Oryzias latipes: one gene and its partner. The protein of the gene in region 2 interacts with the protein of the main gene of each other region in a biochemical or structural test. Links are inferred from orthologs where the notes say so. Each region holds a gene or a part of one and is shown on either strand. Other genes may lie near its edges.

Region 1 (4,425 bases), on a different chromosome or scaffold from region 2:
GCTCCCAGTGAGCGCTCGGTGGCTCCCCCTAGTGAGAGGAGCATCCGCAGCTCTCTCAGCCAGCGCAGTGCCAACTCCCATTTGCTGTCATATGGGCCCGGTCTCGTCTATGGCCCCCCTGGTTTACCGCCTCAGCCTGCACATCTGTCTACAGCTGCCCCCGGCGCCCCACAAGGCAGAGAGCTGGCCTCTGTGCCCCCCGAGCTCACCGCCTCGCGCCAGTCTCTGCGTATGGCAGTGGGAAATGCTGGAGAGTTCTTTGTCGATGTGATGTGACTGTAGCCTTCTGTTGGAGAAGAAAGTATTAGATTGGACTTTATCAAATAACAAGGCTGAGAAGGACAGCGTGACATTGTGGGAGTGGGAGATTAACAAGTTGGAAACTATGGCCTTGATTTCACTTTCCTTTATAGCAGTCCATTTTTTGCATGCCAAAAGAAAAACCTTCACCTCATTTGTGCTTCTGTTCTTAGTCATTTAGTTATAAGCGTCATACTTTCTTCAGTGAAGAAACAAAGCCTGGAACCAAAGCGCCTTTCACAGCCTCTGCTCCATGCGGGGAGACGTTTTGTGCAAGGACAACAAACAAGAGAACGGAGGGAGGCTTGGAAACGATCTGCTGGGGAAGAGGATGAAGTGCTTTAGCTTCCAGATGTTTTCTAATGTGTTCTGCTGTTTTCTATTTCTTCCAACCTCTCATCTGCCTTCCTGATCTGACACTACATGTCCTCATAGTGTACATCAGAAATGAGAAAAAGAGCCTTTTTCCTCCCTCTCTTGTTTGTGCACCTAAATTCTGACCTCAACCGAAGAAACTGAGCAGAAGTTTAAAAGAACTCAACCTGAGTCAGATCTTTGAATTGTTTAACACAAATGGAAAAAAAGTAGTGCAGGAGAATTTTTTTTTTTGCAGTAATGATGCATTTGTGTTATAATATTCATCATTTTCTAACCCTTAACCTCAGCGTTTAGCTCTATAGTCATTTTTACACAACACCTCAGCTGCTTTACCAGAAAATCATCAACCTGTTTTGTATAGTAGAAAATGTTTCTTATCAGACTTTTCACACTACTCTTTTACTGAGAAAGAAATGTCTTTTTTATTTATAAAGATAGTTTTATGATATATCTGTGTGTTTGTGTGGTGTTTTTGTGCGCACTAAAGAAACTGGTCAGATAAATTCCGTCATTCTGAGATATTTAAGGTCATGATTGCATTTCAAAGCAGTGAATTTAAGACTTCAGGTGAATAAACAAATGATATAATGAAGGTTGAACAAAAGCAGATTTAAAAACATTACACAGAAAAGTACGAATATATTATGAGTGAAAAACTTTTAACTTTTATAATCAACTATATAAATTTATATATTGCTCATTATTTGAGATCAATTTGTTTATAAATTGCAGGCGATTATTGACCAACAATTGTTTTTGACTTAAAATGGTCGAAATCAAAGTAAAAAAATATCTTTGGGTCTTTTTGGTGCGATTGATTGGGAACATTCCTCAAGGCTTGGCCTATCGCTTTATTTTATAAACTAGTTTGAAAATACACATTTCTAACTACATTGGATGAACAGCTCGTGTAGTTTCTCAACTGCTAGGCAGGCCTGGGCGCGGTTAACACCCAGCCATCGTACTGGCCGCGCCTTTTCTTCCTGTCAGCGGAACAGGCGTGCGTAAGGACGGCGAGTCAGCTGACAGTTATCGGGGGACCGGGGCAGCGGGTGTGTGAGCAGAGATTCTGCTCTGCAGACGTTATATTTAAGACCAGGCGGGAAGGGAAAAACTCCTGGTGTTGGTGAGAGGACCAAGGTAAGTTGACAAATTTGTCGTTGTATCCGGAACGAAACGATTAGCTAGAACCCAGTGACTCGCGAAAAGCAGGTCAGCGCTTTCCCCTCTATGCTAACGTTAGCAGCTATTTGCCTAGCTAACGTCAAGCTAGCAGGAGTTAGCCACACGATAACAGAAATGAAGTAATTTCCATTTTGTGGAAACGCTGAAACTGCCGCGTGTGCATGAGATGTTTAAAACACATTTGTCGAACGAGCGACATTGATTGTTTTAACAAACACGTAACCGTTTTGTGTAGAAAACCTGTCAAGTCGCAGAATTGTAGTACTTGTGACCGGATATTCCGTTTGAAAATTCGCCATGCACGACGGTATTTCACTGGAAGCCATCGCCTGCTAACCCGCTATCGCTAGCTAAATTAGCTTAAATTAGCAGTCTGCTTTTACCGAAGAACAAACACTCGGCTGTGTTGCGTCCACGTAACTGTTTAAACAAAACGTTACTGGTAAACTTGGCCCTTGCTTTTCTACAAACATTTGAAATGTATGACTGTATGAAAATGGCCCCAGTGAGTGAGCAGACATCTTGACTTCGCCAGAAAAAAGAGGCGATTAAATCTCTTCAGGTTTTGTGCGGATGGTTAAGTCACGACTTAGCGGTGTTTAAGCGGAAAACATGCTGCTAATCCTGCAGCTAACGTGTCAAGTCTCCCATAGTGTCGGTTTTTCGATGTTTGGATTTTCTGCTCGAGGAATTTGAAATGTCCTTCATGGTTTCCAGAAGGTTCATTCTTATCATCAAGGAGAGAAAAAAGGAGGGACAGAGAGAAATTCCTGTCTCCAGCAGCCCTTAAGTTACTTTTTGTATTTTTTTAAACCTTAAACTGCTACTTCTGTTTTTTTTTTTTTTTTTTTTTTTTTTTTTTATCTAAATTAAATTGATGAGCATTTGTATTCGGCTAAGTGACACATCAAAGACCCACTCCAATTAAAATTGTGTTTTTAACATGTTCTTGACTTGTGGCACTTTTCTGATTATAGAGGACGTACATTAAGAAAATTGAGCTTAAAATTGTGTTTGAGTATTTCTATATTCAAATTGCTGTGAATCAGGAGCAGACGAAAAAACTCCATTGGAAAATGCTCATAGCAGGGAAGTAGGTGCTGCAATCATTGGGCCACAAGCTCTGTACTCCGCTACATTTTGATGCATCCACTTGCAGACTAATAGATCCATCCATGCATGTCTGCATTTTCCTCGCCTGAACTGATATCTGGCTCAACACTGGACAGCTGGACAGCTCCAAAAGTGCTCGCCGTTTTTATTGCTCCAATAATTGGGTTGGAGGTGTGAATAGCTGTAAGCTAGCGGGAGGGCATTAAAACAGATGGATAGAGGCAACTTGGAAACAAACTACCCATAACAGCTCCTAATCTTCTTCTTCTATCTAATATGTCACTGGAGGAAAAGAACTGCCGTTTCATTAGTATGGAGATCCATTGCCTCATCAAGTCAGCGTGTTGGATATGTGTGTGCATCTTTTTGCTTCCTTCGAGTCCGAATGGAAGAAGTGCAGCTGCAGGAATTAGTCAGCTGGCAAAAGGGAAACGAGGATGAGAGAGAAAAGAGGATGTGAGGGACAAATGTGTCTCTGTGTCACCAGCGGTGACTCCCTCACTTTCACTTCTCCTGGCTAATTTTTAATCCTCCATGTCAGTAGTTTTCAGGTAGATACTCAATATGACTATGGATGGAGGCTTAAAACCAACTTTATATTCAAAAAGGATGCATTTTTCTTGTAAAATTACAACTTTGCTCTCATAATTTTACGACTTTGTTCTTGTAAATGTTGATTTTTTTTTTTTGTTGTACTTAATTTTTATTTACTTGTATGGGGCCTTAATATTTTGTTGTAGATATGTACCCCAAAAAGGTACTAGATTTAAATACATGTTTGTATTTTTCAATCATGCATATGAAGATCCCAGCAAAAATGATCACAACAAAAAATGAGATCTTTAACACAAGGTGAATATGTATAAGAAGTAAAACACATTGTGTGGTATTATTCTTTACTACACCAACAATTTTTTCTTCCTTTTTTGATACACAAATCACATTTCTTCATTTAATTTTTATTTTGTATAAATTTAGTGCTTTGTAAAAAAAACTATATTTATAAACTCTGTTTTAAAGATTTTATTGATTCATTGAAGATTTTCCATAAATAAAATATATTCTGAGAGTTACACCTTTGTGAGGGGGGGGGGGGGGGGGGGAAGCTTGGGGACCACTGCCTTCATGTCGTTCCTTTCTGTTTTTTGCCAGGTGGTGTTTGGTTTCATCATGGCAAGGTGTGTTTGAGAGGCAGCCACAATGATTGGAGGACTGTTTATCTACAACCACAAGGGGGAGGTCCTGATCTCCCGTGTCTACCGAGATGACATAGGGTATGTTTGACACGAACTAACCTTCTGTAAGTCTCCTCAAGTTGTGGAAGACTTCAGTTCAATGGAACTATCTGGATCCTGCGTTGGAGGGCTAGCTGGAGTTGATCTCCTCGATGAGAGGATTATGTCACCACATCCAGCTAAAATCATGTCTGCTTGTGCAAGGAAGCTGAGT
Region 2 (3,498 bases):
TGGCATTCTGTTTTTCATTAAATAGTTCAATTGCATTTAATTCTAAAAATAGGATTCAAAGAATGATTGGTTAGCCCTCACACGTTTTCACTTCACCAAATCTGGCCCTCCTTGCATAAAAGTTTGGAGATCCCTGTATTAGATCCATGATCTGTTTTGTGATTAATGTAAAATCAAAAAAACATTTGTGTCAGTTATCTTTTACAAAAGCATATTTCCACACCAAAGGATTTTCAGCTAAATTAATCAGCCAAGAACATTTACTAGTGCAGCCACAGATTCAAATGTCATGTAGATTTAATATCAGTAAACATCCAAAATGTTTGGGGGGAAAAAGATGAGGCAAAAAGCAAGTACAGACAGAGGACAGGCTGTGTACAATACCCTGCCCCTATTTAATTTTAACAGTTTTACACAAAACAATAATAATAAAAAAAGAAGTTCTGTGTACCCTCAATTCTAGAAGCTCCATGATTTTCTTTGTTAAAATGTGTCTGGTTTTTCTGCCGCTTGAAATGCTGTAGTAATTAGAGCTGATATGAAAATTAAGATCATTACATGAGCTAACTGCATTTTCCAATCCTGCAAAAACGTAGACAGACGGCTACCCCACTTGAGTTTTGGAAGGATGGCAGACATTGCACGTATATATCTCTGTCAGAAAAAATGTCAGTTCTGGGAAACATCTGAACCAGGATGTGGATGAGTTGGGTTAACAGTATGCCACAAATGGCTGGGTTACGTAACCTGAAATGAGACAAAGAGAGCATTTATTGAGGTCCAGCACATGCAAGCAAAGCAGTTATATCTATTGCATTAAGGGTGCTAACCTTGTGGATGTGAGGAGGCATTTCATCCTCAGAACTCTCTTCAGGCACAGCCTCGTGGTGTCTTGGTGCTGCTTGACCATCTACTGCCCATCCACCCATAGGTACACGAGCCACCCTTACTGGTCTTCCCACCGCATTGAAATGATCTAAAAACAGTTACAAAGACAAAAAAATGATGAAGTGCCAGGATTTTTCATAGATCTTTATACCACCTAAATACTGTTCGGTTAATTCTATAAGAAAAACATTTTAAAAAAATGAAAAAGCTGTTTATAATCAAAGCACAGAATACCTGTGGCGGGTCCACTGTGGCGCCGCTGACTCTGTGATTTTTCTTCCTCCTGGCCTTTGGGCTTACTGCTGTTAGCTGAAGTTGAAGTGGCACTTGGGCTGGACACCACGGTGGGAAAAGTGTGCGAGCGGGGGAAACTTTTCGACTGAGGATTGTGGTCGCTTCTTACTTCGTCTGGGATGCTGTCGCTGCTTTCGTCGCTCTCTCGTCTGTGCCACGTGTGGCGGGACAGCTCACCCCGAGACTGTTGTTTATGGAGCTTCAGGGAGCAAGGCACAACGAAGGGGATTACCGGTAAAAGTAATACGATTGATCAAATGAGTGACATATTCATAAACGGCAGGGGATTTACCTCATGTATGTAAAGTGCATGAATGCTCATCTCAGTAGAGGCGTACTCTGATAAAACCATGCTAGTAAGCTGGCCCTCCCATGCACTGCTGCCTGAGCTTACAGTGTGAGCATCAGTTCTGAGGAAAGAAGTAGAAAAATTTGAGGAAAATATAAAAACCGGACAAGCTGTGCACTAAAGAAGCAGCCAAATTAGCAGATTTGCTCACCCTGAACCACTCATTGCTTTGCCAGTGAAGCCACTAGCTCTCTGAGCCATACTCAGACTGCCTCTCAGATGAAGACTGCTGCTGACAGGAGAAAGGGAACGCAAGGCAGATGCTCCATCACTGCCAGCCACTGCATGGTTGATCAAAGAGTTGTCACAACCAAAATGAACTGAGGCCAGACTGGAGGGTCCTGCTAAGAGGTTTGCTACAAGGCTCCTTGGCTGTGACATGCAGAAAAGGAGAGCATTATACCTCTGAAAGGGTTAGGTTCAAACAAATATGCTTGAATCTTAGTTTTTTGACTTACTTCAGACTCTGACAGAGAGAGCGGATGTGTTTCAGAAGGGGCCCCTGCAGCCTCTCTGTGAACTCGCTCTTTCAGCTGGCTAATGAAGTGTGTGGTCTCCTGAGGAGGCTGCCAGTGTGGGTTGGTGATGGCAAAGTGCATCAGCGATAACTCTGTTTTCCCATCCTCTGCTTGTTGGTAGATAGAGGCCTCCGTCTTTCCCTCCGACATCCACTAATAAAGGAAAATAAAACAACAATTAATCTTGACATGCCACAATTTATAGTTTAAAAAAAACAATTGAGTTTTATCAGTAAAATCACCGCAGGATGTCCATGCTGCCTAATGTCCATCTGAGCAAAAGAGCAAGTGTCTCCGACTCCAATAACTTCTACAGTAAAGTTTCTGAAGAAATCGATGATCTCCAGAGATTTCCTCCTCAGACAGAAGATGAGAATGATGGGAGTCACCACAGGACTTAGCAGCTCTTCTAAAATAAACACCTGGAAGGAAATGAAACAGCAAAATAGTGCAACAATATAAACGGAAATGTTCCAGAAAAGATTAGTTTTCAGAAGAAATTAGGACTAAACTCTCCAACTTTTACATGTTGATAGTTCATTTGACTCCTATCTTGTTTTTAATGAAAGAAAAGAGGTTCATGAGAGTCACCTCATTTAAAGCTTAACCCGAAAAGGATCTAAAAATTGTCAATGCCTTTTGGAAAGCTCTGTCACTTAGCCACAAAAGTCAAATGTTTTACAGTGTGTGTTGATATTTGTTGCAAGAGCTTTTCTAACTCACTGCCTTGTACTGGAAGAGCTGTGAGAACTGGTCTCGCGTCTCATATCTGTGCGCATTGCCCTGCCAGTGGTCCGGCATGTAGTGAATGTGAGCCAGGATGACCCGCAGCAGCTGCTCAGGACAAAACACCATGTGCTTATCCGGGATAAAAGATCTGTAGGGAAACATACCAACAACCACATGGACGTTATTGAACTATTAACACTATTTTTTGATTATTAAACAAAAAATCAATTTACAGATACAGAGAAACAAAGTTTTAGTCTAAAAGTCCTAAAAAATTCCTTTTCAATTTGTGACTTTAGATTATTCATTAGCTGAAAAATAAAAGCATCTTTAAAACTTTAAAATTTCAAAAGATTTTTACAATAAGGCTTTAGATCTAAATAATTTTCTTAAATGACTAATTAATTGGGAACACTTTTAGAAAATAAACCAACATGAGATTAATAATAATACCTCTTATTTTCCCCTCAGGGGTCGCCAAATCAGCTTCCTTCATCTAACCCGATCTTCTGCATCCTCTAATCTAGCACCTTCATGTCCTCATTTACTGCATCCATAAACCTCCTCTGTGGTCTTCCTCTAGACCTCAAATCTTATAAAAGGATATCCCAATAAATAGAATTAAGATTTCCTTAGTTAAATGATACTGTTGCTTAAGTATTTGACTGTGTGTAATGCAAAATGAACTACAAACCAGCTTTAGCTTTAAAAAAAAAGAAT

What was found.
Region 1: the proteins of atg9a (region 2) and ap2m1 interact in a biophysical measurement, tested with the Homo sapiens proteins (4 studies listed by BioGRID and IntAct, with this or other methods). The link is inferred for Oryzias latipes from reciprocal best matches to the Homo sapiens genes ATG9A and AP2M1.

Annotation. Positions count from the first base shown.
Region 1 is NC_019875.2:21,533,736-21,538,160, forward strand, and holds the start of ap2m1 (AP-2 complex subunit mu), read left to right. Parts: upstream 1-1,603; 5' UTR 1,604-1,818; intron 1,819-4,128; 5' UTR 4,129-4,176; coding exon 4,177-4,250; intron 4,251-4,425. Other genes in the region: dvl3 (segment polarity protein dishevelled homolog DVL-3), read left to right, coding at 1-276.
Region 2 is NC_019880.2:8,206,245-8,209,742, reverse strand, and holds the end of atg9a (autophagy-related protein 9A), read right to left. Parts: intron 2,927-3,498; coding exon 2,767-2,926; intron 2,472-2,766; coding exon 2,292-2,471; intron 2,203-2,291; coding exon 1,990-2,202; intron 1,904-1,989; coding exon 1,694-1,903; coding exon of another isoform or gene 1,683-1,693; intron 1,595-1,682; coding exon 1,475-1,594; intron 1,382-1,474; coding exon of another isoform or gene 1,367-1,381; coding exon 1,123-1,366; intron 977-1,122; coding exon of another isoform or gene 950-976; coding exon 771-949; downstream 1-770. UniProt on the Homo sapiens protein: Phospholipid scramblase involved in autophagy by mediating autophagosomal membrane expansion. Cycles between the preautophagosomal structure/phagophore assembly site (PAS) and the cytoplasmic vesicle pool and supplies membrane for the growing autophagosome.